4 linked regions of the Saccharomyces cerevisiae S288C genome follow. The protein of the gene in region 3 interacts with the protein of the main gene of each other region in a biochemical or structural test. Each region holds a gene or a part of one and is shown on either strand. Other genes may lie near its edges. The genes, in order: RPN1, VPS9, UBI4 and UBC1.

Region 1 (5,209 bases), on a different chromosome or scaffold from region 3:
ACTGAAGTTACATGGGTAGGAAATGGAAACGTTTTAGTTAAAACTACCGATCGATCCTCGGACATATTGACTGTGTTTTTGATAGATACAATTGCAAAGACTTCAAACGTGGTAAGGAACGAAAGTTCTAACGGAGGATGGTGGGAGATTACTCATAATACTCTGTTTATTCCGGCAAATGAAACATTTGATAGGCCTCATAATGGTTATGTTGATATTCTTCCGATTGGTGGTTACAATCATTTGGCTTATTTCGAAAATAGTAATAGTTCACACTATAAAACATTGACAGAGGGGAAATGGGAAGTGGTGAATGGCCCACTTGCCTTTGATTCAATGGAAAATCGTCTTTACTTCATTTCTACACGAAAGAGTTCAACCGAACGCCACGTTTACTACATAGATTTACGGTCACCAAATGAAATTATTGAAGTTACTGATACTTCTGAGGATGGTGTCTATGATGTGTCCTTTTCTTCTGGTAGAAGGTTTGGTTTACTCACCTATAAAGGACCAAAAGTTCCATATCAAAAAATTGTGGACTTCCATTCTCGTAAAGCAGAAAAATGCGACAAAGGTAATGTTTTAGGCAAATCACTATACCATTTGGAAAAGAACGAAGTACTTACCAAAATTTTAGAAGATTATGCGGTACCCAGAAAATCATTCAGGGAATTGAACCTAGGAAAGGACGAATTTGGAAAGGATATACTAGTGAACTCGTATGAAATCCTACCAAATGATTTCGATGAAACGTTAAGTGACCACTATCCTGTATTTTTCTTTGCATATGGGGGACCGAATTCTCAACAAGTTGTCAAAACGTTTTCCGTAGGATTTAATGAAGTGGTAGCTTCACAATTAAACGCAATTGTAGTTGTTGTTGACGGTCGTGGTACTGGCTTCAAAGGTCAAGACTTTAGATCCCTTGTTCGCGATAGGCTCGGTGATTACGAGGCCCGCGACCAAATATCTGCGGCTTCCTTATATGGTTCTTTAACTTTTGTTGATCCGCAAAAGATTTCCTTATTTGGTTGGTCATACGGGGGGTACCTGACACTAAAAACTTTGGAGAAAGATGGCGGAAGACATTTCAAATACGGGATGTCAGTTGCGCCAGTAACCGACTGGAGATTTTACGATTCTGTTTATACTGAGAGGTACATGCATACTCCTCAAGAAAACTTTGATGGATACGTAGAATCAAGCGTTCATAATGTCACTGCTTTGGCACAAGCAAATAGATTTTTGTTGATGCACGGAACAGGAGATGATAACGTTCACTTTCAAAATTCCCTAAAGTTTCTGGACCTTTTGGATCTAAATGGTGTGGAAAATTATGACGTCCACGTCTTTCCTGACTCAGATCATAGTATAAGATACCATAATGCGAATGTAATCGTTTTTGACAAGCTATTGGATTGGGCAAAGCGTGCTTTCGATGGGCAATTTGTCAAATGAGTTGACTATTTACAGCTCATCTCATAGAGACATTCATAAAACATTTTCATATTTACATACTATGTATATATAAAATTGGTAATATAACAGATTAATGTTCGTAGAAGATGATGTGTTTTACGGTGGCAAAAGGCGAGCACGAAATTTGGCAAAGGGTATAAGTAATTAAGCAAATTTGGTCAAATCTATAATTCTTCACTAACAAACTTGCCCATTGGTCTACATAAGGTGCGATTCGTATAAATTTGGAAGACAATTGCAAGAAAATGGTAGACGAAAGTGATAAGAAACAACAGACTATTGATGAACAATCGCAGATAAGTCCTGAAAAGCAGACACCAAATAAGAAGGATAAAAAAAAGGAGGAAGAGGAGCAGCTATCCGAAGAAGATGCAAAGCTTAAAACAGATTTAGAGCTATTGGTTGAAAGGCTGAAAGAAGACGATTCATCTTTATATGAAGCGTCTTTGAATGCCTTAAAGGAATCGATCAAAAATTCTACGAGTTCTATGACCGCCGTTCCCAAACCTTTGAAATTCCTTCGTCCGACATATCCAGACCTATGTTCTATCTACGACAAATGGACAGATCCAAACTTGAAATCCTCTTTAGCGGATGTCTTGTCCATTTTAGCCATGACATACTCTGAAAATGGTAAACACGATTCATTGAGATATAGATTACTCTCCGACGTTTCTGATTTTGAAGGGTGGGGACATGAGTACATCCGTCATTTAGCTTTGGAGATCGGTGAAGTATATAATGATCAAGTGGAAAAAGATGCTGAAGATGAAACATCATCTGATGGATCTAAAAGCGATGGATCTGCGGCTACTTCCGGGTTCGAATTTTCCAAGGAAGATACTCTTCGTCTATGTTTAGACATTGTCCCATACTTTTTGAAACACAACGGTGAAGAAGACGCGGTAGATTTGCTTTTGGAAATTGAATCTATTGACAAGCTACCTCAATTTGTCGATGAGAATACCTTCCAAAGAGTTTGTCAATATATGGTTGCATGTGTTCCACTTTTGCCACCTCCTGAAGACGTTGCCTTTTTAAAAACCGCATATTCTATTTATCTATCTCAGAACGAACTTACAGATGCAATTGCTTTGGCAGTTAGACTAGGGGAAGAGGATATGATCAGATCCGTTTTCGATGCTACTAGCGATCCAGTGATGCATAAACAATTAGCATATATTTTAGCCGCACAAAAGACATCGTTTGAGTATGAAGGTGTTCAGGATATAATTGGAAATGGTAAATTGTCTGAACACTTTTTATATCTTGCTAAAGAATTGAATCTAACTGGGCCAAAAGTCCCAGAAGACATTTATAAGAGCCATTTGGATAACTCTAAATCTGTGTTCTCAAGCGCCGGCCTAGATTCTGCTCAACAAAATCTAGCTTCGTCATTTGTCAACGGGTTCTTAAACTTAGGTTATTGTAACGATAAATTAATTGTGGATAATGATAATTGGGTATATAAAACCAAAGGTGACGGTATGACTTCCGCGGTAGCTAGTATTGGATCTATATACCAGTGGAATCTCGATGGTTTGCAACAACTGGATAAGTATCTCTACGTTGATGAGCCAGAAGTTAAAGCTGGTGCATTATTAGGTATTGGTATTTCCGCTTCCGGTGTGCATGATGGTGAAGTTGAACCAGCTTTGTTACTTTTGCAAGATTATGTTACTAACCCAGACACTAAAATTAGTTCAGCAGCTATTCTTGGCCTGGGTATTGCATTTGCTGGTAGCAAGAATGACGAAGTGTTGGGTTTGTTATTACCAATTGCCGCATCCACTGACTTGCCTATTGAAACTGCAGCTATGGCTTCCTTAGCTTTGGCTCATGTTTTCGTTGGTACTTGTAATGGTGACATTACAACTTCTATCATGGACAACTTTTTAGAGCGTACAGCCATCGAGTTGAAGACCGACTGGGTAAGGTTTTTGGCACTTGCTTTAGGTATTCTATACATGGGCCAAGGTGAACAGGTGGATGATGTTTTAGAAACTATTAGTGCTATTGAACATCCAATGACATCAGCTATTGAAGTATTAGTTGGTTCATGTGCTTATACTGGTACGGGTGATGTTTTGTTAATTCAAGATTTGTTACATCGTTTGACCCCTAAAAACGTAAAAGGTGAAGAAGATGCAGATGAAGAAGAAACTGCCGAAGGACAGACTAATAGCATAAGTGACTTTTTGGGTGAGCAAGTGAATGAACCTACCAAGAACGAGGAAGCTGAGATCGAAGTGGACGAAATGGAGGTTGATGCCGAAGGAGAGGAAGTTGAAGTTAAAGCAGAAATAACAGAGAAGAAGAATGGTGAGAGTTTAGAAGGTGAAGAGATAAAATCCGAAGAAAAGAAGGGAAAATCTTCCGATAAGGATGCTACTACGGACGGGAAAAATGATGATGAGGAGGAAGAAAAAGAAGCAGGCATAGTCGATGAACTTGCTTATGCAGTTTTGGGTATTGCTTTGATTGCCCTTGGTGAAGATATTGGCAAGGAAATGTCTTTACGTCATTTTGGTCATTTAATGCATTATGGTAATGAACACATCCGTCGTATGGTTCCTTTAGCGATGGGTATTGTTTCCGTTTCTGATCCACAAATGAAGGTGTTCGATACCTTAACTCGTTTTTCACATGACGCCGATTTAGAAGTTTCAATGAATTCAATTTTCGCTATGGGTCTATGTGGTGCTGGTACTAACAATGCAAGGTTAGCTCAACTATTAAGACAGTTGGCAAGTTATTATTCACGTGAACAAGACGCTTTGTTTATCACCAGATTAGCACAAGGGTTATTGCATCTTGGTAAAGGTACTATGACAATGGATGTGTTCAATGATGCACATGTTTTGAATAAGGTGACATTAGCATCAATATTAACTACCGCAGTTGGTTTAGTATCGCCAAGTTTCATGTTGAAGCATCATCAATTGTTCTACATGTTGAATGCCGGTATAAGGCCAAAGTTTATTCTAGCATTAAACGATGAGGGAGAGCCAATAAAGGTTAATGTGCGCGTTGGTCAAGCAGTGGAAACTGTCGGCCAAGCAGGCAGACCAAAAAAGATTACTGGCTGGATTACGCAATCCACTCCTGTTTTACTAAATCATGGCGAAAGAGCAGAACTAGAAACTGATGAATATATTAGTTACACAAGCCATATTGAGGGCGTAGTAATTTTAAAGAAGAACCCTGACTATCGTGAAGAGGAGTAAACTGAATAGCTTTTGGGCAATATCAACCAGAATAGGAAAAATTCAAAACCATTTTAAATAAATATATATTTATATAGTTGTACATTTTTTTCTCTTACTTAATATAATATGATTTTTAGATAATAAAAGAAAACGTGCATATATACATACACATGTATCTCAGATATCTCATTATATCTATTAGTAAATATGGATGCGCTTATCTAGCTCGTAAAAACGGAAAAGAAAAGCCTGGTTTGAGCGCTTACTGAAATTCAGAAGCTTTACCGGCCATCAATAAACCAACAATCAAACCTAATAAACCTAAAATGGACCCGAAAATTTCAATGACCAAAATTTTAACAAACAATGCGGAATCAGCAGCATCGGAAATGGCAGCAGTCGCACCGGTGATACCGACAGCGATACCACAAATCAAATTGGAAGCACCGACAGTGATACCTGCCCAGAAAAGAGAATAACCAGTGTACAGGTTTGATTTCGAGTACATGTTCTCAGCA
Region 2 (6,161 bases), on a different chromosome or scaffold from region 3:
GCCAAGTGATCCTGGCAATCTGCCATCGTCCCCCATACAACATCAATAGAGTTCATAGATAAGATCGCAGTTAGTACGTCTTTATATTTCTCAGGTATGCTTGATTTTGTGTTCAAACATAATCTTAGAAAGTTCGAGGCTTGATTTCTCAATTCGATACCTAGGCCCAGAAAGTATTTTTGTAGTTTGTAGTTCCTTGGGTACTTGCTTTGCAAGTGGAAGCAAGAGACAGCAAGAAGAGCATTCAACAACGCATTCCTCGAGTTGGAGGATTGTCCCAAACCCGCTAAATCGCCTAATGCCATCAAGGCTCTGGGGAAGTATAATGTTTTCCATGGGTTCTTTTCGAGCACGACCACTGTCATTTTATCTGCAACATTATTAAAATAATGATTTAAAAGAAATCTCGCTAAACCATGTACGGTAAGGTCTGTTTTGGGTATAATATCTACCAATTCAGGTGGTAGGTCACTGGAATAGGATGTGAGTTCTAACATGGACTTAGGCATGCGTGATTCTTCATTTGGAGGAGCTAGAGTTATTTTATTCAGATCAGATGCGGGCAGAGATCTTGGTTCAATATTGACGAACACATCGTCGATCAATGCTTGAGGGTCTGGTTCCTCACTGTTCGAAGAGTTTTTCTGGAAGAGTAACTTCAAGTTTTGCTGGTAAAGTTTATCATTGGCACTGGCTGCTTTATTAGGTAAAGTTGATGAACCTTGATTATCAGCCTCAAAGGCACATCCATGTTCTTTGGCATTCACATGCTCTTCCCCACTCACGACATTAGAGTTTTCCTCTAATGAGATTTCTTGTGGCTGTGTGTGTCCTAAGTGATGTCCCTGTAAGGTCACCGCTGACAATAATGCATCATCTCTGAGTTCACTCGAGATCCATTCGTAACCTGTTATATTCAGATTGTTCCAGTCATAATCTAAAAGATTTGGTGTTGGTGGAACACCATCATTAGCAGAGAGAATACCTGTCTTTACATGCCCTTTATTTCTCAACTTGTCTTCAATATGTCTAATTGGAAAGGAAATAGTTGAAGAAGATGGTAAAGAAGATAACGAAATAGAAGCTGAGCTCTCCAAGCTTTTGGCAACTCTTTTCCTATTGCGCTTCTTCCTTGGAGCGTACTGCTTGTCGATCTTATCTGTTCCTTTAAACACCCCAAATTTCTTTATGATCCACGTCTTGTTATCGCTTATTTTCTCAATTGGGGGAGTATGCAGCATTGTTAGCTCATCATCCATATCTTCATGATACACGTATTCTTCATCATAGCGCACAAAATCGATGTTCCGTCGTTGGTATTGTGGTTCATCGACACTACCTGATAAGTTCGTAGTAGTTGCAGGAGAATTTTGTGGGATTGGGACACCGTACGGGTCAAATTGCATAGGCTTAGACCACCGGAGTTTGATATCATAACCGCCACAAGGCAAATTAGACTTTTCACATCGTTGGCAGTGGGGATGCCGAAGATCACACTTAACTTTTCTTCCTCTGCACGTCCAACACCCAGTAAACGTCTTTGCCCTTCCCATTTTTTTAGGGCCATTCTTGCTGGAAATTCCCATTATATCTGCAACTTAAAATTTTCGAGGTACTGATATCGGTAACTATTGCCCACTAAAGCATCAAATCTAAAAGAGATGCTTTTCGCAAGGTGTATTTTTTTTTCATTTATTTTTGAGTTCTAGCGGAAACCGCAGGCGAAGAGTCATTGATAACAAAGAAGGTTCATCAACAACTGCAACATGAAATCCAAAAGGTAACGGCAGGCGAGGGTGAGCTGGATAAGATATGTCTAGGAAGCTGAAAAAAACGAATCTGTTTAACAAGGATGTAAGTTCCTTGCTTTACGCTTACGGCGATGTGCCGCAGCCACTACAAGCTACTGTGCAGTGTTTGGATGAATTGGTATCTGGATATTTGGTGGATGTTTGTACTAACGCATTCCATACAGCCCAGAATTCTCAGCGCAATAAGCTCCGATTGGAAGATTTCAAGTTTGCCCTCCGTAAAGACCCGATAAAGCTTGGGAGAGCAGAAGAACTGATAGCTACTAATAAGTTGATTACGGAAGCTAAGAAGCAGTTCAATGAGACAGACAATCAAAATTCATTAAAGAGGTACAGAGAAGAGGATGAAGAGGGTGACGAGATGGAAGAGGATGAGGATGAGCAGCAGGTGACGGATGATGATGAGGAAGCAGCGGGCCGTAATAGCGCTAAACAATCAACAGATTCGAAGGCAACAAAGATTAGGAAGCAGGGGCCTAAAAACCTCAAGAAAACAAAAAAATGATATAGCTACTTGGCAGGCCCGTTTACGTAGGCTTGATTCAGATATACGTAGTACATATGTCCCTTTGATTTATTAATTAGGCGTTTGCTCTATAAAAGGGGTTTTGAGTTTGCGTTGGTGCTGAACAAAAACACTTGTCATTACAATGGCACAATTTTGAATGCATTGTTTTCTTATTTATATATTTTTCCAAGTAAAATCTTAGGATTCAACTGGTACATTTATTCTTTTAGATTCAAAAACCCTGCTACATTAGTAACGGCAAACTCCTCCCTCTGATAGTTGTGTTGCAATACTCAGCTGTCAGCATTGGATAGTTAAGATGTATTGTTAAGTCACCGCCTGAAACAGCAACTTAAGCTCCCTTCTGTGCTTAGGAAGGTACGTGCGCCTCCTAACCCATCTATTATTTGATTCTAAGTCACAACGAGCCTGTACTAACGAGTTTTAGAAGCGATCGTTATCAGTAAAAAATGTCTCCTGCGGTAAGTTATTTTTACTATTATATTTTTACAAATACATATTGCTAGGCTACTCTATACATGAAATATGTGCATGAGATCATTATTCTGACAGAGAAAGTAGAGCATCAACACAGGGCCCAATACGCGATTTTTTAGCAATACAAACATCCTCTATCAGGCTTGGGTCCATATCTGGAAACATATTCTGTAATGTGTTCAACGTGTCCTTTCGTTCGTTCTCTTCAATTTTCTTAATTAACGAAGAAACGTCTTCTTCTTTATTGCTCTGTTCAGATTTCAATGCCTCTTCTTGTGTGGGCTCTCCAATTGGAGAAAACAGTTCATTGAATTTAGAAATTACAATATTGGTAACTTCGTCTAAGGGTTTCAGTAAAGTGCCGTTTGGCTGTAACTCATCCGGAATCTCTAGTTGTTTTTTCTTCTCTTCTTCCTCTTTTTCTTCTGCTAGTTGTTTAAAATTTCTTTGGTATGCCTCTTCAAAATCTTCGTGATCTTCGATAGTTAAAGAACGTTCAGTCAAGTTCATAATGAAGTTAAGAGCAGCCTGAAGACTGCTCAAGTAATATTCCTCTTCGCCCCGAATGAAGTCTGGTGATCTGAATCTTTCGATGTAGTTCACATTCGAAACTAGATATCGTACTTGTCCTTTCAAAATACAGTATATTAGCACAGGTATAAAGCTGTCAGCGCCATTTTGTTCCAACTTGGTATGTTTTAGTAAACCAAATATAACCTTGCTTGCATTCAAAACGCAAACCATCTTGTCCCTTGGTGACTTAAACCTATTTATTTTGCCCAACTCTTTACTGGCCAAATGGACAAACTTATTCAGCCTGGCATTCGGCATAGTATCAGGAATATCTAACATAATGGGGCTTATGAATCTATAATGCCTAATCTTTTCTAGTAATGTGTCATCGTTGGTTAAATCTTTCATATGCTCATCGTCTAATGGTTTCTGCAGAATTTCATAAAGACTTGGTGAAAAACAGCGAGAATATAGTTTCCCCATTATTAACTTTTCCATACCTTCCTTGGCATTTCTCATCTTGGAATTGTCAAGACTTCGGAAAGGCTCGTAAAGAGTGAATTTATCGTAAATGAAGGTCTTAAAGTCACTGATGAGTTTTATTTCTTCGCTGACCGTCCATAGAAGTCTTTGCGCCAAGAAGTTACGTAAGAATGATTTCGTATATTTAACCAGAGGATCTGCACCAGGAGTCTGAAGCTGCTTAATGAATATTTGAAAGTCATAAAATGGCTCCTCATCTCCTTTGTCCTGCGCGGATATGTCCCTATTAGTTTCTTCTGCCGCTGCCCTATTAGGATCATCCTTTTTAAACTTCACATCTTTATCTGGGTTGCCATTTGCCTGTTCCAATTGGCTGAAAGGATCAAATTCTTTCAATATCTCCCTCTTTTCATCATCAGTCATGGCTGTTGATTCCTGTTCTTTGTTGTTTGATGAAGAGAAACTCAAGCCCGTTGGATGTAGAACTTTTCAATGTTATGTGTCATTACATCAAGTACCGGCAGCTTGATATAGCCCATTCGCGAAAAAAATAATAAAAAAGAAAGAAAAGTGAAAAATATTAAGGCATCGGAAAGTTCCAGATTTAGTAAAGCCTTGAGCATCTGGCATTACTATGAGACATGTGCGGGATTCTATTGCATTATTGTCCAAACAATAACTACCTGAATGATGAGTTAATCGAATTTCCAGAAGGAACTGAATTTGGAGATACAACATGTACCAATGAATCGTCGATTTTCAACAAAATCATTCCGTACATAGCCGCAAGAGGTCCAAACTACTCCTCTCTTCGAGCTGTCAAAGCTTATCGAATAAGTTGGTTTTCTTCTGTTTTATCTTTGAGGCAGCCTTTCACGAAACAGAGTATTAACGTGGATGACAGATATTTCCTACAATTCAATGGTGAGTTATACAATAAAGAGATATCGCAGGGTGATAATGATAGTCTTTATATTGCTTCTATGTTGCAGAATTTGAAAGAGGGTATGGGCGTTATTGATGTTATAAAATCACTGGAAGGCGAGTATGCTTATACTATATATGACGTGAACTCATCCAAACTCTATTTCGGCAGAGATCCAATTGGCAGGCGAAGTTTGTCTTATTCGGTCACTCCAGACAACGAATTGTACGTCGCTAGTGTAACGGGGTCTGCTGGGTCCTTTCAAGATTGTATAGGTGGAGTTATTTATGAATATGATACACGAACTAAGTTGTTAAATTCCAATCAGAGGTCACATCTTCCATACGAAGTGACATCAGAGATAGATCTGAATTTCACATCATTGTCAGAGGTGTCTAAAAATTTATATGCTGTGCTACGTGATTCTGTAAAAAAAAGGGTAGAGTCCATACATCCCAGGCATATTGAAAACTCTCCTATTGCGGTACTATTCTCAGGAGGAATTGATTGTTCAGTAATAGTAGCGTTGATCTGCGAGGTGTTGCAAGAAAATGATTATAAATGTGGAAAACCAGTTATAGAGCTTCTAAATGTATCCTTCGAAAACCCCAGGACTGGTCTTTTTCCCAGTGATACACCTGATAGAAAACTGTCCATTAACAGTGCAAAGACTTTACAAAACTTATATCCTAATGTTGATATCAAACTGGTTGAAGTTGACGTTCCTTATGATGAGTATTTAAAATGGAAGCCATTTGTTATCAATTTAATGTATCCTAAACAGACTGAAATGGACTTGTCTATAGCCATTGCTTTTTTTTTTGCGTCGAGAGGTAGAGGTTTCTTAACTTCTCTGAATGGGGAAAGAACGCCATATCAGCGCCATGGGATAGTGTTATTCAGCGGACTGGGAGCAGACGAACTCTACGGTGGATATCACAAGTTTGCCAACAAACCACCCCATGAACTTGTGGAGGAACTTACAAGGCAAATAAACAACATTTATGATCGCAACCTGAATCGTGATGATAAAGTGATAGCTCATAATGGCGTGGAGGTGAGATACCCATTTTTAGATGAATATGTTATAAAGTTATCTACAGCAGAAATTCCCATTAATTTCAAGGTTAACAAATTAATCCTTCGAAAAGTTGCCTCGCAGTATTTGAAGTTGGATGGAATATCATCAGAACCAAAAAGGGCCATTCAATTCGGTGCTAAAAGCGCTAAAATGACAAAGGATGGTAATAAGCATGGAACAGATTTATTAAAAGAAAATAGGAATTGTTCATAAATTCAAATATTCAATATATTTTGCAGCTTGTTCAAAATTAAATGCTAAAAGTAGAGTAAATCCGTTGAACATACATAGTTTTGTAATGTCATTAAGGGTATCTTCAGAGTTGTTATCGTCTACTATGAA
Region 3 (6,012 bases):
TAAATTTTTTAACTTTAACTTTTCAACCCATAATTTTGTGTACAACCTCCGTTGTTCACATTTCTCCTTCATGCTTTCCCAAGTCCACATTTTGTTTTTTTCATGAATTTCATTAATAACACAAGCAGCAATGTATTTAAACCATTCTGTCGGGTTTTCACTAACTGCGAAGGATGGTCTTGCTTTCTTAAACTTTTTGGTAATTTGTCTTAACTGTATACTGGAGAGGACATGCAAGATATCATTATATTCTGTATCATCTAATTCTAAACCAAATTCATCATAAAACATTTGCAAGTCAATGTGAGGTTGTTCCTCCGTGGAACCCAGCTTGTTGATACTAAGCTTCCCTAGCCCGCTAACCGGTTTCAAAATGTATTGATGCTTGGGGGCAGTGGAATTTTTCGATGCAATCATATCTTTGAAACCCCTTACAAAATTTTCCAGGCTTCTATCTTGATCATCATCAGAAATCAAGGGCGGAGAGTCTGTATTCCAATACAAACAGAGTGAATTTAAAGTCAATAGTTTATGCGTGATATTCTGTGTAATATCAATGAAACTTGGAGCCCAGTTGGAATCTGTAGATACAGCTGATAGCTCGTTCAAAGTTAATCCAACGGAAGATGGGCCTGTAGTGAAGATTCCGTCCATGTCCTCGTACCTTAAATGGATATTTTTTATGGTAACTTGTAAATTGTCTATGATCTTTGTAGTCAAAGACTGCATAAACCCGGCGTTATTTTTTTCTGAAGAAGAAGAAGAGGTTTTGTTCTCTGATTGGGTACTCAGTATGCGAGCCTGATTTGTCAGTTCCCATTCACTTACCTTCCTCATCTTCAACCGAAAAGCTCTCTTTATCATCTCCTCATCATTTTCGTGATCTTCTGAACGTGGTGAGCATAATAAATAACAGTCCTCGATAATGATTTTCACGGGCTTATTCTTTAAACTTGACCATGGGACCGTTAAGACCAAATCACCCAGTATCCCTGATTTCACATCTATGGGTAAATTTAATGAGTCCAAACAGTCTTTTCTTAGTTTTAAGTTTTTTAACTTCACATCACCACTCCATATGCCGACATTTAATTGATTAGGGTCGAAATTTTCCACATATGAGCCTAGCAATCGGTTTAGCAAATTAGCAGCTAAAGACTCTAACATTTAACTGTTCTTAATTTTCCTTTTTTCTGCCTTTTCCCTTTTGGTAGTCACAATATTCTATCCGTATCAAATTAAATAGAGTTAAAAGGTTGACTCAATTGGTCGGCTTATGTGCGTTTACTGGAGATTGAAACATGATAGGACACTATAAAGGTGGTTTATATTCCCTAATAAAAATCCCTTTCTATCAAAATAGCTAATGGTATTACCCGGCTTCGCGAAAATAGTGAACGTCATAGTATAAGACGATTCAAAAATCCAAGCTCTTGAAAACCAACATGAATAAAGACAATAACACAGTTGAACAATTTATTTAGTGTTCTATGGAGTATTTATCAAAAAAAAAAAAAAACCAAAAAGAAAAAAGGAGAGTAAACATATATATATTGACATAATGAAAATATTGCGAGGACTGATCAGTTACCACCCCTCAACCTCAAGACAAGGTGAAGAGTGGACTCCTTTTGAATATTGTAGTCCGACAGCGTTCTACCATCTTCTAGTTGCTTACCGGCAAAAATCAATCTTTGCTGGTCTGGAGGAATACCTTCCTTGTCTTGAATTTTCGACTTAACGTTGTCAATAGTGTCAGAAGATTCAACCTCTAGGGTTATAGTCTTACCTGTCAGTGTCTTGACAAAAATTTGCATACCACCTCTCAGTCTCAACACCAAGTGAAGAGTAGATTCCTTTTGGATGTTGTAGTCAGACAAGGTTCTACCATCTTCTAGTTGCTTACCAGCAAAAATCAATCTCTGTTGATCCGGAGGGATACCTTCTTTATCTTGAATTTTACTTTTGACGTTGTCAATAGTGTCGGAAGATTCAACCTCTAGGGTTATAGTCTTCCCTGTTAGAGTTTTGACGAAAATTTGCATACCACCTCTCAATCTCAACACCAAATGCAACGTAGACTCTTTCTGAATGTTATAATCAGACAGCGTTCTACCGTCTTCCAGTTGCTTACCAGCAAAAATCAATCTTTGTTGATCTGGAGGAATACCTTCCTTGTCTTGAATTTTCGACTTAACGTTGTCGATAGTGTCAGAAGATTCAACCTCTAGGGTTATAGTCTTACCTGTCAGTGTCTTGACAAAAATTTGCATACCACCTCTCAGTCTCAACACCAAGTGAAGAGTAGATTCCTTTTGGATGTTGTAGTCAGACAAGGTTCTACCATCTTCTAGCTGCTTACCGGCAAAGATCAACCTCTGTTGATCCGGAGGGATACCTTCCTTGTCCTGGATTTTCGACTTAACGTTATCGATCGTGTCGGAGGATTCAACCTCTAAAGTGATGGTTTTACCGGTCAAAGTCTTAACAAAGATCTGCATACCACCTCTTAGCCTTAGCACAAGATGTAAGGTGGACTCCTTCTGAATGTTGTAATCAGACAGCGTTCTACCGTCTTCTAGCTGCTTACCGGCAAAGATCAATCTTTGTTGATCTGGAGGGATACCTTCCTTGTCTTGAATTTTCGACTTAACGTTGTCGATGGTATCGGAAGATTCAACTTCCAATGTTATGGTTTTACCGGTCAAAGTCTTGACGAAAATCTGCATAATCTATTAGTTAAAGTAAAGTGGGAGGGAGAGTTCGAGAGTTCTTGTCGTATTGTAGTAGATAGAAGATATACTTATCCTTATCCGTACAGTTCTTGCTCTTTCTGAAGTAGCACTTTCGGAAGAAGAAAGATAAGCAGGCGAATTCAAAGGTGGCAAAACCCGGAGCCTCTCTATATATACCCCCAAAAGGAGGAACCGCCCTCAAATGACACTGAATTCTAAAAACAACTGATAAGTGGCATCGCCCCTGAAAAAAGAAACGAAGTGGGGTAACCACCGTGTGTGGCCGGATGTACGGCTGTGTGATGCTCCACTGGGCGGCTATTTTTTTTTTTGGTACCGAAATTGGTTTATCCAGGATTATTCTAGAACGTTCTAGAAACAATACTGACCACAAAGACTTTTCGGAATAGAATATTGTCAAACAAGAACTTTTTCACTTTCTTTTCATAAAACGTCACTTTCATCACTTTTGCAGGATTTCCCACAGTTCGTTTAAAGGGACATTTCCTATCATGGGTTGCCCTGCGCGAATAAGATGATTGGTCAAGGAAGACTCTAAAATCATCTGAACGGGTTATTTGAAGACTTGGGTCTAAATGAGAGCTTGCTTATTCCACCCGCCACGCCGGGCGTATCTTCACTGTCTTCTTCGGCCAGGGGATCCAAAGAGAATCGGGCATATTCGTGCGTATTCCTTGTCCGTTGTCTCTGGAAATCTAAGCTAGTGCTGGTGGTGGGAGGCTTTGCTTTCTTTTCTAAGCTTTGTCGCGTGAGCTCGCTTCTCATTTCCTCCAGCTTCAAATGGCTATTGTCCGTGGACTTCCTGCCCGGAGTCGATATGCTTGAGCGGAATTGTATTACATCCTTGCGTTGTTTTTCTAGTAACCCGTCGTCTTGCAGCAGCCCCAGAACGTTCCTGCTTAGCTTTTGAATATCTTCCGCCTTACGTTCATCCCGAGGATCCTGAACCTGAAAATCCTCCAGGATCTCAATTAGTATCATGTTTCCTTTCAGCCACTTGATGAATTCATTGGACCCGTTATTCATCAGATATGAGACCAAAGTCAGCGTCTTCATCACCTGGATACAATTTCGATGAGAATTTCTTCTGTTCTGCCCAAGTAGCAATCGCTTCCGGATTACCTGGATGATTTCTCGTACTGTCTTGGGGCTGTAGGTCAAGATTGATATTTCGTTCATAAGCGTCCCCGTTGCTCCACTTGTTTCGTCCTCGTTGGTAGCCTGTTTCACCTTTGATTCCGTCGGTGATTGAATAAAACTCTTGAAGGTATCTAACAAAGGCATCACGACCCCCTCACTATATGTGTACTCGTTCTTTGACACCTTTATGCTTTCTAGGCTTATTCAACACATAACCTCAATTTTCGTTTTCTCATTCTTTTTTCTTTTTTTTTTTTTCTCACTAAAGCGTTGTCCTAGAGATGTAAAAAGAGAAGGAAATGAAATTTTTACTGGAAATGTTACTACTATTACACAGGTTTATTTAGAAAGTACAAACGTGTCAGCGTATTTAGGGTGTCAATGCAACAATATTGAAACTATCATTTGTCTTCAGAATAGCGGCAATACCACCATCTCCGCATACCACGTCCATATCAGTGAAATCGGCAGTGTCGCTTTGCAAACAGAGGGCGCTCTCCTCGTCTTTAGTCCAATTTTTTGTTTTCTTGTCAAATTTGTATATCGTCAGCGAATTGCTCTCGTTTGAGTATGCAATCATATTCTTTCCAGAGTCGTCAATGTCATAGGTAACGGTGCCCGTCTTGAATTCTGGGATTGTGTAAGTTGGATACGCTAGCGTGCCGACATCCTTTCTTAGGTCAAAGCAAACCACAGTTTGGTCACACTCTACTACCATCCAGTACCCATTGTCTGCAAATTTAACCTCTTTTATCTTGGCTTCTTCATCTACGGGGAATCTAGAGCTTGCCTGGTCAGGTGATGACAAGTTGTAAACGTCTAATATACCGTCCGGAGAGTAAAGGGCTAATAATAATGAATCCTTATGTAGGACACCGCTGCTGTACTCAACATCTGATTTAGCAGAATGAACAATATACTGGGAATCATCCTCGTAGGATTGAAATCCTATGGTTCCTCTATTATCCGCCCAGATGAAGTACTCTGTGTTGACCTCGTTGTGACCATACATATATATAATCTCATTGGCGGAATCTACCTCTATTTCTCTGAGGACTTTGTTTGTTTTTGAGTCCAATATAGTTATTTGGTTACCTGGATATAGTAGTAGCAAACGATTACAAGGCCCTCTGGAAATAATAGCTGGATGCTCTCCCCCGGTACGGGGATTTGGTGTAGTTATTGTGGTAATCGTTTTCGAATCTTTTAATTGGGTAAAATGTAAAGCACCATCCTCACAGCGACACATGCACACCCATTTATCATAGTACATAGATTTGTTAAGCTCTTTATATGGGAATGTTTTGATGTTACGGGAGTAATTTTGTGCCTGTAATAGCTCCAAATTTTTTAAAATCGGCCATTTGGGTGCTTTGAGCTTGCCCCTCGCTACAAAGTCTCTAGAAGATTGTAACAGCCCTTGTAAAAATTCTTCTCTCGTAATAGCTACCGCTTGCTGTGAGGATTTGGGTAAATCCTTCGAATCTTCGTTTTTTTCCATCAATAGTTGCGCAGCGACCAACTTTGCAGCATCTCTTTCGTACATTACAGTCGACAGTTTTTTCGTTAAACTATCTAGAGTTGATCGTAACTTAAAGTTTTCGAGCATTATAGCATCCCATTCATTCTGTAAACTTGTCAACAGATTCGGAATCGAATAATTCGCTTTTAACGTAGCAGAGTTTGTAGACTCTGTTAGTGAGGCTTGTTGCGCACTAGGTACGATTTCCACTATTTCTTCGATGCTTAAGGGCTCATTTGTTATCGGATCATTCCCCGTATCTTTAACATACTGTTCAAGGAGCGACTTTTCAAAAATAGTCCTGGATTTAGGTGATAGAACTGGCCTTCTAGGAACTTTCCCACTAATAGCACAAAGCATTGTTCCCTAGTTGGCTTTCTTGGCTATGTTTTGGTCTTTAATATTTCTTGGAAAGTTTGCATCTTTCTAAAATTGCCCTTACGAATTTTTCACCGCTGCTACCCGAAAAAGTACGAAATTTATCAACATGAAATTTATTCCTGCCAAGTCATCGAGTGCTCTGCGCCTAAGGCTTAGGTTGCATTTAAGTTGTCTTAATTCACGCTTATAGTGCAGGTAGTATAGGTTCCCCAC
Region 4 (5,491 bases), on a different chromosome or scaffold from region 3:
GGTACCCTACCACCAGCTTCCTTGGAAAACGGTCCAACTCATGCGCCGGTTCCAATTCCTTTCAGTTTACAGCACGCCGCTGAACCTCCTGTGGAAAAGAGACCTCACGATGATGATGGATCTTCGGAAAAGAAGAAGAAGAAGAAGAAGAAGGATAAGAAGAAGGACAAATCCAACTCTTCTATTTGATGGACGGACAAACTCGTTACTATTACTCTACTGTCTTTCTAAAATAAATATAATAATAAAAAAAGGAATAAAATATAGCAGCATGGGCTTGCTTTGCCCATAGTGTATGCACATATATATATATATATATGTATCTATCCCTCTCCTCTTGTAACAGTATATCTTCCTTTTCATTTTCGTTGTGTATATGTATGTATATAGTTCTAAATTTGCGATTATACCTTTTCAAACCTCTCAATGTTGTATTGTGCTAAAACTATGTACATTTTAGAGAAAAAGAAGGAAGCAAAACAAATACATAATATATACAGGGGGGCCGTTCTTTTTGTTTTTGAACATGTATTAAAGAGTGCTCAATAATTGATCTACAATATCAAATTTCTTCTTTGGTGCATCTTCAGGGCGTTTCCAGTGTTCAGGAAACTCATAATCCCGCTTCTTTTTACGTAAACTCTTAGCTATAGTATGCCTTGTGTCAAGGGGAACATCGCTAAAATCGTCCTCCGTCAAATCTTTTGACTCCGCTAACAGCCTTTGAAGAATATCATGCAAATAACGTGCATTTTGTGATGCATGCTCAAATTTGTCACTAGACATTTTAAAAATATCTGTAGTATGATCATAACGCGACCTGGCTAATATTCTGAACTTATGTAATGATTTTTCCTCCAGGCCCAATTCCTTGGTTTTAACGCTTAATACAACCTTCCTCGAATTGGGATGCTCTTCGCCAACATAACTAGTGTATCTATAAGTGACCGGATGACTTTCTGGAGATGGTCTCTTGTATTCCTGGCGATATTGAGCTAATAGCGGTAACTCATATGCGGCTAATCGATTATAGAACCTTTGTTCACGATGTTGGGCAACCAATTCCTGAGCTTGCGATGGCAATTCATCAAACATAAACGGTCTAAGACTGTTATCGCGATTCACGTTTCCACCTTTTATATCAATAGCGCCTTGTTCTCCTCTGTGATATAGCTTTTTAATATCGTTAACAGGTACATTTGAGTACTCAGAAGTGGTTAATAAGGCATTCAGTTCGTCTTTGTTAGGTTTATACTCTGAACCCAATCTAGCCATTCTCTCCCAATATAACTCTAAAATTCTTTGAGGAGGTAAACCCTTCCATTTTTCGGGATGCATATAGAGATCTGCTGAAAAAGCTGGTCCTTCTCTCACAGTTTTAGCTTCATTACCAGCATCACTGTTCAAACATCTAGACATTGTCAAAACCCTTTTCTGGGTGCTCCACAAATTACCCCGAGAGACTTTCCATAACCCCAATGGTACTTTCATCTTCCTAAGAATAGTATTTTAGTAGTGTCAAATGTTTCGGTAACTCTACTGCCTTGTTCACAGATCGAAATATACTCAGAATCAGTTACAGAAAAGGTCCCATTTAGCGTAATTTCTTAGCGGAACTCATTAAAGAGCTCCGACGTGCAACGCGATAAAGGTTCGCCGACGACAACAAAACAATGGCAGGCAGTCATTAAATGAACGCCATCAAATGAAATATTCGTGGTAGCGATTACAATAAGGAAGTTGGAAAAACATAACAAAGACGGAGCGACGAGAAGTATTGGACAGGACATATGCCTAGACATGGAAGAAGAGGAAAACTGCCAAAAGGCGAGAAACTTCCTAAAAAGGAGGGAGGCGACAATACTCCGTCAAAGCTTTTATCGTCAATGCTTAAAACTTTAGATTTGACCTTCGAGCGTGATATTGGAATGCTCAATGGCAAAAGTGTTAGGTCCATACCCAATAAAAAAACTTTACTTGAATTGCAAAGTCAATTGGATAGTCTCAATGAAATACTGGGTACAATTGCCCGAGGTGATCAAGAGACCATTGAAGCGCTTCGGAAAATAAGAGACAGTAAAAATGAGAAGCAAGCAAACGATGAAAAGCAGGAAACTTCAAATGCAGACGGGCAGCACGAAAGTTCTACTGCTACTGAAGAAACGAATATAATTGATAAAGGGGTACAAAGCCCACCAAAACCTCCTCCTTCTAATGAAATCTCCGGCACAATTGAGAACGATGTAGAAAGCATCAAACAAGCGGCTGATAATATGGCTAAAGAAGAAATTAATGAAGACAAAGATTTACAAGTTCATAGAGATCAACCCAGAGAAAAGAGGCCGTTCGATTCTGAAACTGAAAATAGGGCCACTGAAAATGAAAACACACAGAGGCCAGACAATAAGAAGCAAAAAATTGACGTTGACAAAATGGAAAACGATCCAACTGTTAAAAATCCAAAATCAGAATTTGTAGTATCGCAAACGTTACCTCGAGCAGCAGCAGCACTCGGCTTATTCAATGAAGAGGGACTAGAAAGTACAGGAGAAGACTTCCTAAAAAAAAAATACAATGTAGCTAGTTATCCAACAAATGATTTGAAAGATCTGTTACCAGGTGAATTACCGGATATGGACTTTTCGCATCCTAAACCAACCAACCAAATTCAATTCAATACCTTTCTAGCATTTGTGGAAAATTTTTTCAAAGATCTTAGTGATGACAACTTAAAGTTTTTGAAGATGAAATATATTATACCCGATAGCTTGCAATTTGACAAAACTTATGACCCTGAGGTAAACCCGTTTATTATACCGAAACTAGGCCCTTTATACACAGATGTTTGGTTCAAAGATGAAAACGACAAAAATTCTGCCTATAAAAAACCTTCACCATATTCAAACGATGCATCTACTATACTACCAAAAAAAAGTGCCAACGAACTTGATGATAATGCTTTGGAATCGGGCAGTATATCGTGTGGGCCCTTATTATCTAGGCTGTTGAGTGCTGTATTAAAAGATGACAATGACAAATCAGAATTGCAATCTTCTAAAATAATACGGGATGGCGGACTACCGAGAACCGGAGGGGAAGACGATATACAATCGTTTAGAAACAACAACAATGATACTGTAGACATGACATTATCTCAGGAGAACGGGCCCAGTGTTCAAACACCTGACAATGACATTGATGAGGAAGCATCTTTCCAAGCAAAACTGGCAGAAAATAAAGGCAGTAATGGCGGTACTACAAGTACGTTACCCCAACAAATTGGGTGGATAACAAATGGAATTAACCTGGACTATCCAACATTCGAAGAACGATTGAAAAGAGAACTAAAGTATGTAGGGATATACATGAATTTGCCTAAGGATGAGAACAACCCTAACTCAGATGACCCCGATTGGGTCACCGGTAGAGAAGACGACGAAATAAGCGCAGAGTTAAGAGAATTGCAAGGCACTTTAAAACAAGTGACCAAGAAAAACCAAAAGAGGAAAGCCCAATTGATTCCACTAGTGGAAAGACAACTAGCATGGCAGGAATACTCATCTATTTTAGAAGATTTAGACAAACAAATCGACCAGGCTTATGTCAAACGTATTCGCGTACCCAAGAAAAGAAAGAAGCATCATACAGCAGCTTCAAATAATGTGAACACAGGAACCACGTCTCAAATAGCACAACAAAAGGCTGCAAACTCAAGTTTAAAATCCCTTCTGGATAAAAGGCAAAGGTGGATTAATAAGATTGGTCCATTGTTTGATAAACCTGAAATTATGAAGAGAATCCCCAATGAAAGCGTATTCAAGGACATGGACCAAGAAGAAGATGAGGATGAAGCCGATGTATTTGCACAAAACACTAATAAGGACGTGGAACTAAATTAAAATATACGAACTCTAAGGAAAAATACGTAGCATAATAACGCATATAACTAACAATTTGGATAACTATCCATAAAAAAAAAAAAATAGTCACATAATACGAACATTAATATCCTTTTTTGTTACATTTTCTTCCATCTGAAATATTTGGAGGGGCAAAAACAATGAGATGACAGTTGAATGCATGAACTTCCGATCGCGGGCGTATAGGTAAAGTCAATTGAAGCAAGTGTGACGACATAAGTATCGTAATTTAGTGGTTGGATACATTAAAAAAAACAAGTGGTATATATATAAGTAGTAGTAGTAAGAAGTAAGCGATGTCTAGGGCTAAGAGAATTATGAAAGAAATCCAAGCTGTGAAGGATGATCCTGCAGCTCACATTACTCTTGAATTTGTGAGTGAATCTGATATCCACCATTTAAAAGGCACATTTTTGGGCCCACCTGGAACACCTTACGAGGGTGGCAAATTTGTCGTGGATATCGAAGTACCTATGGAGTATCCATTCAAACCACCAAAGATGCAGTTCGACACAAAAGTATACCATCCAAATATATCATCAGTGACAGGTGCCATTTGTTTAGATATTCTTAAGAATGCATGGTCGCCAGTGATAACACTAAAGTCTGCATTGATTTCGCTACAGGCGCTACTACAATCTCCAGAGCCTAACGATCCTCAAGATGCAGAAGTAGCACAACACTATTTACGGGATAGAGAATCTTTTAATAAGACTGCTGCACTATGGACGAGGTTATACGCCAGTGAAACTTCCAATGGTCAAAAAGGCAATGTAGAGGAGTCTGATTTATATGGGATTGACCACGATCTGATTGACGAGTTTGAATCTCAAGGTTTTGAAAAGGACAAGATTGTGGAAGTGTTGAGACGATTAGGCGTCAAGTCCTTAGACCCCAATGACAACAACACAGCCAACCGTATCATCGAGGAATTGTTGAAGTGAATAGATAAAAAAAAAACGCACCAAGTAAGTAAGTAAATAAAGAATAAATAAACTATATGAGTAAAACACCAAGCGAGGATGTTTCATTGTGCATCCGTGTTCTTGATGATCACATAACTGTAAAAGAATAATACGGCACGTTAAATGTTATTTTAGAATATATAAACACCTTATGTGCCATAAGCATTGAGCCAATCGCTGCTGTTTTTTTTATTCCGGGGCACCTTCGGAAGAACACAGGCGCAATTTAGTTATATAAGGAGAAGCCCTCGAGCGATCAGGGGACCGACTGCGGATCGCTTTAAGGCAAAGATAGAAGGATAAATATCTGCTTTGGAAGATAGTCGTATCTAATTTCCCATTCTGTTGTTTTCTTGATCTTTCCTACGCTTTCGACTTTCTTCCTACGCGCTTTATAATAGCTATGATGTTGCCAAGATCCATGAAATTTATGACTGGAAGGAGAATTTTCCATACTGCCACAGTAAGGGCCTTCCAGTCTACCGCTAAGAAGAGCTTAACTATCCCATTTTTGCCCGTATTACCCCAGAAACCAGGTGGTGTTAGGGGCACTCCCAATGATGCCTACGTCCCCCCCCCTGAGAATAAATTAGAGGGCTCATACCA

The links.
Region 1: the proteins of UBI4 (region 3) and RPN1 form a complex in vitro, tested with the Saccharomyces cerevisiae proteins (8 studies listed by BioGRID, with this or other methods).
Region 2: the proteins of UBI4 (region 3) and VPS9 form a complex in vitro, tested with the Saccharomyces cerevisiae proteins (6 studies listed by BioGRID).
Region 4: the proteins of UBI4 (region 3) and UBC1 form a complex in vitro, tested with the Saccharomyces cerevisiae proteins (8 studies listed by BioGRID, with this or other methods).

What each region holds. Positions count from the first base shown.
Region 1 is NC_001140.6:161,230-166,438, reverse strand, and holds RPN1 (proteasome regulatory particle base subunit RPN1), read left to right. Parts: upstream 1-1,727; coding exon 1,728-4,709; downstream 4,710-5,209. Other genes in the region: DAP2 (dipeptidyl aminopeptidase), read left to right, coding at 1-1,461; VMA16 (H(+)-transporting V0 sector ATPase subunit c''), read right to left, coding at 4,954-5,209.
Region 2 is NC_001145.3:75,455-81,615, forward strand, and holds VPS9 (guanine nucleotide exchange factor VPS9), read right to left. Parts: upstream 4,237-6,161; coding exon 2,881-4,236; downstream 1-2,880. Other genes in the region: ARG81 (Arg81p), read right to left, coding at 1-1,586; TAF13 (Taf13p), read left to right, coding at 1,813-2,316; YML096W (putative asparagine synthase), read left to right, coding at 4,455-6,032; DNA repair protein RAD10, read right to left, coding at 6,027-6,161.
Region 3 is NC_001144.5:62,479-68,490, forward strand, and holds UBI4 (ubiquitin), read right to left. Parts: upstream 2,730-6,012; coding exon 1,584-2,729; downstream 1-1,583. Other genes in the region: membrane morphogenesis protein VPS13, read right to left, coding at 1-1,167; ENT4 (Ent4p), read right to left, coding at 3,297-4,040; E3 ubiquitin-protein ligase PRP19, read right to left, coding at 4,267-5,778. UniProt on the Saccharomyces cerevisiae protein: Ubiquitin exists either covalently attached to another protein, or free (unanchored).
Region 4 is NC_001136.10:812,662-818,152, forward strand, and holds UBC1 (E2 ubiquitin-conjugating protein UBC1), read left to right. Parts: upstream 1-4,216; coding exon 4,217-4,864; downstream 4,865-5,491. Other genes in the region: HMO1 (Hmo1p), read left to right, coding at 1-189; mitochondrial 37S ribosomal protein mS35 RSM24, read right to left, coding at 532-1,491; histone acetyltransferase NGG1, read left to right, coding at 1,791-3,899; succinate dehydrogenase membrane anchor subunit SDH4, read left to right, coding at 5,289-5,491.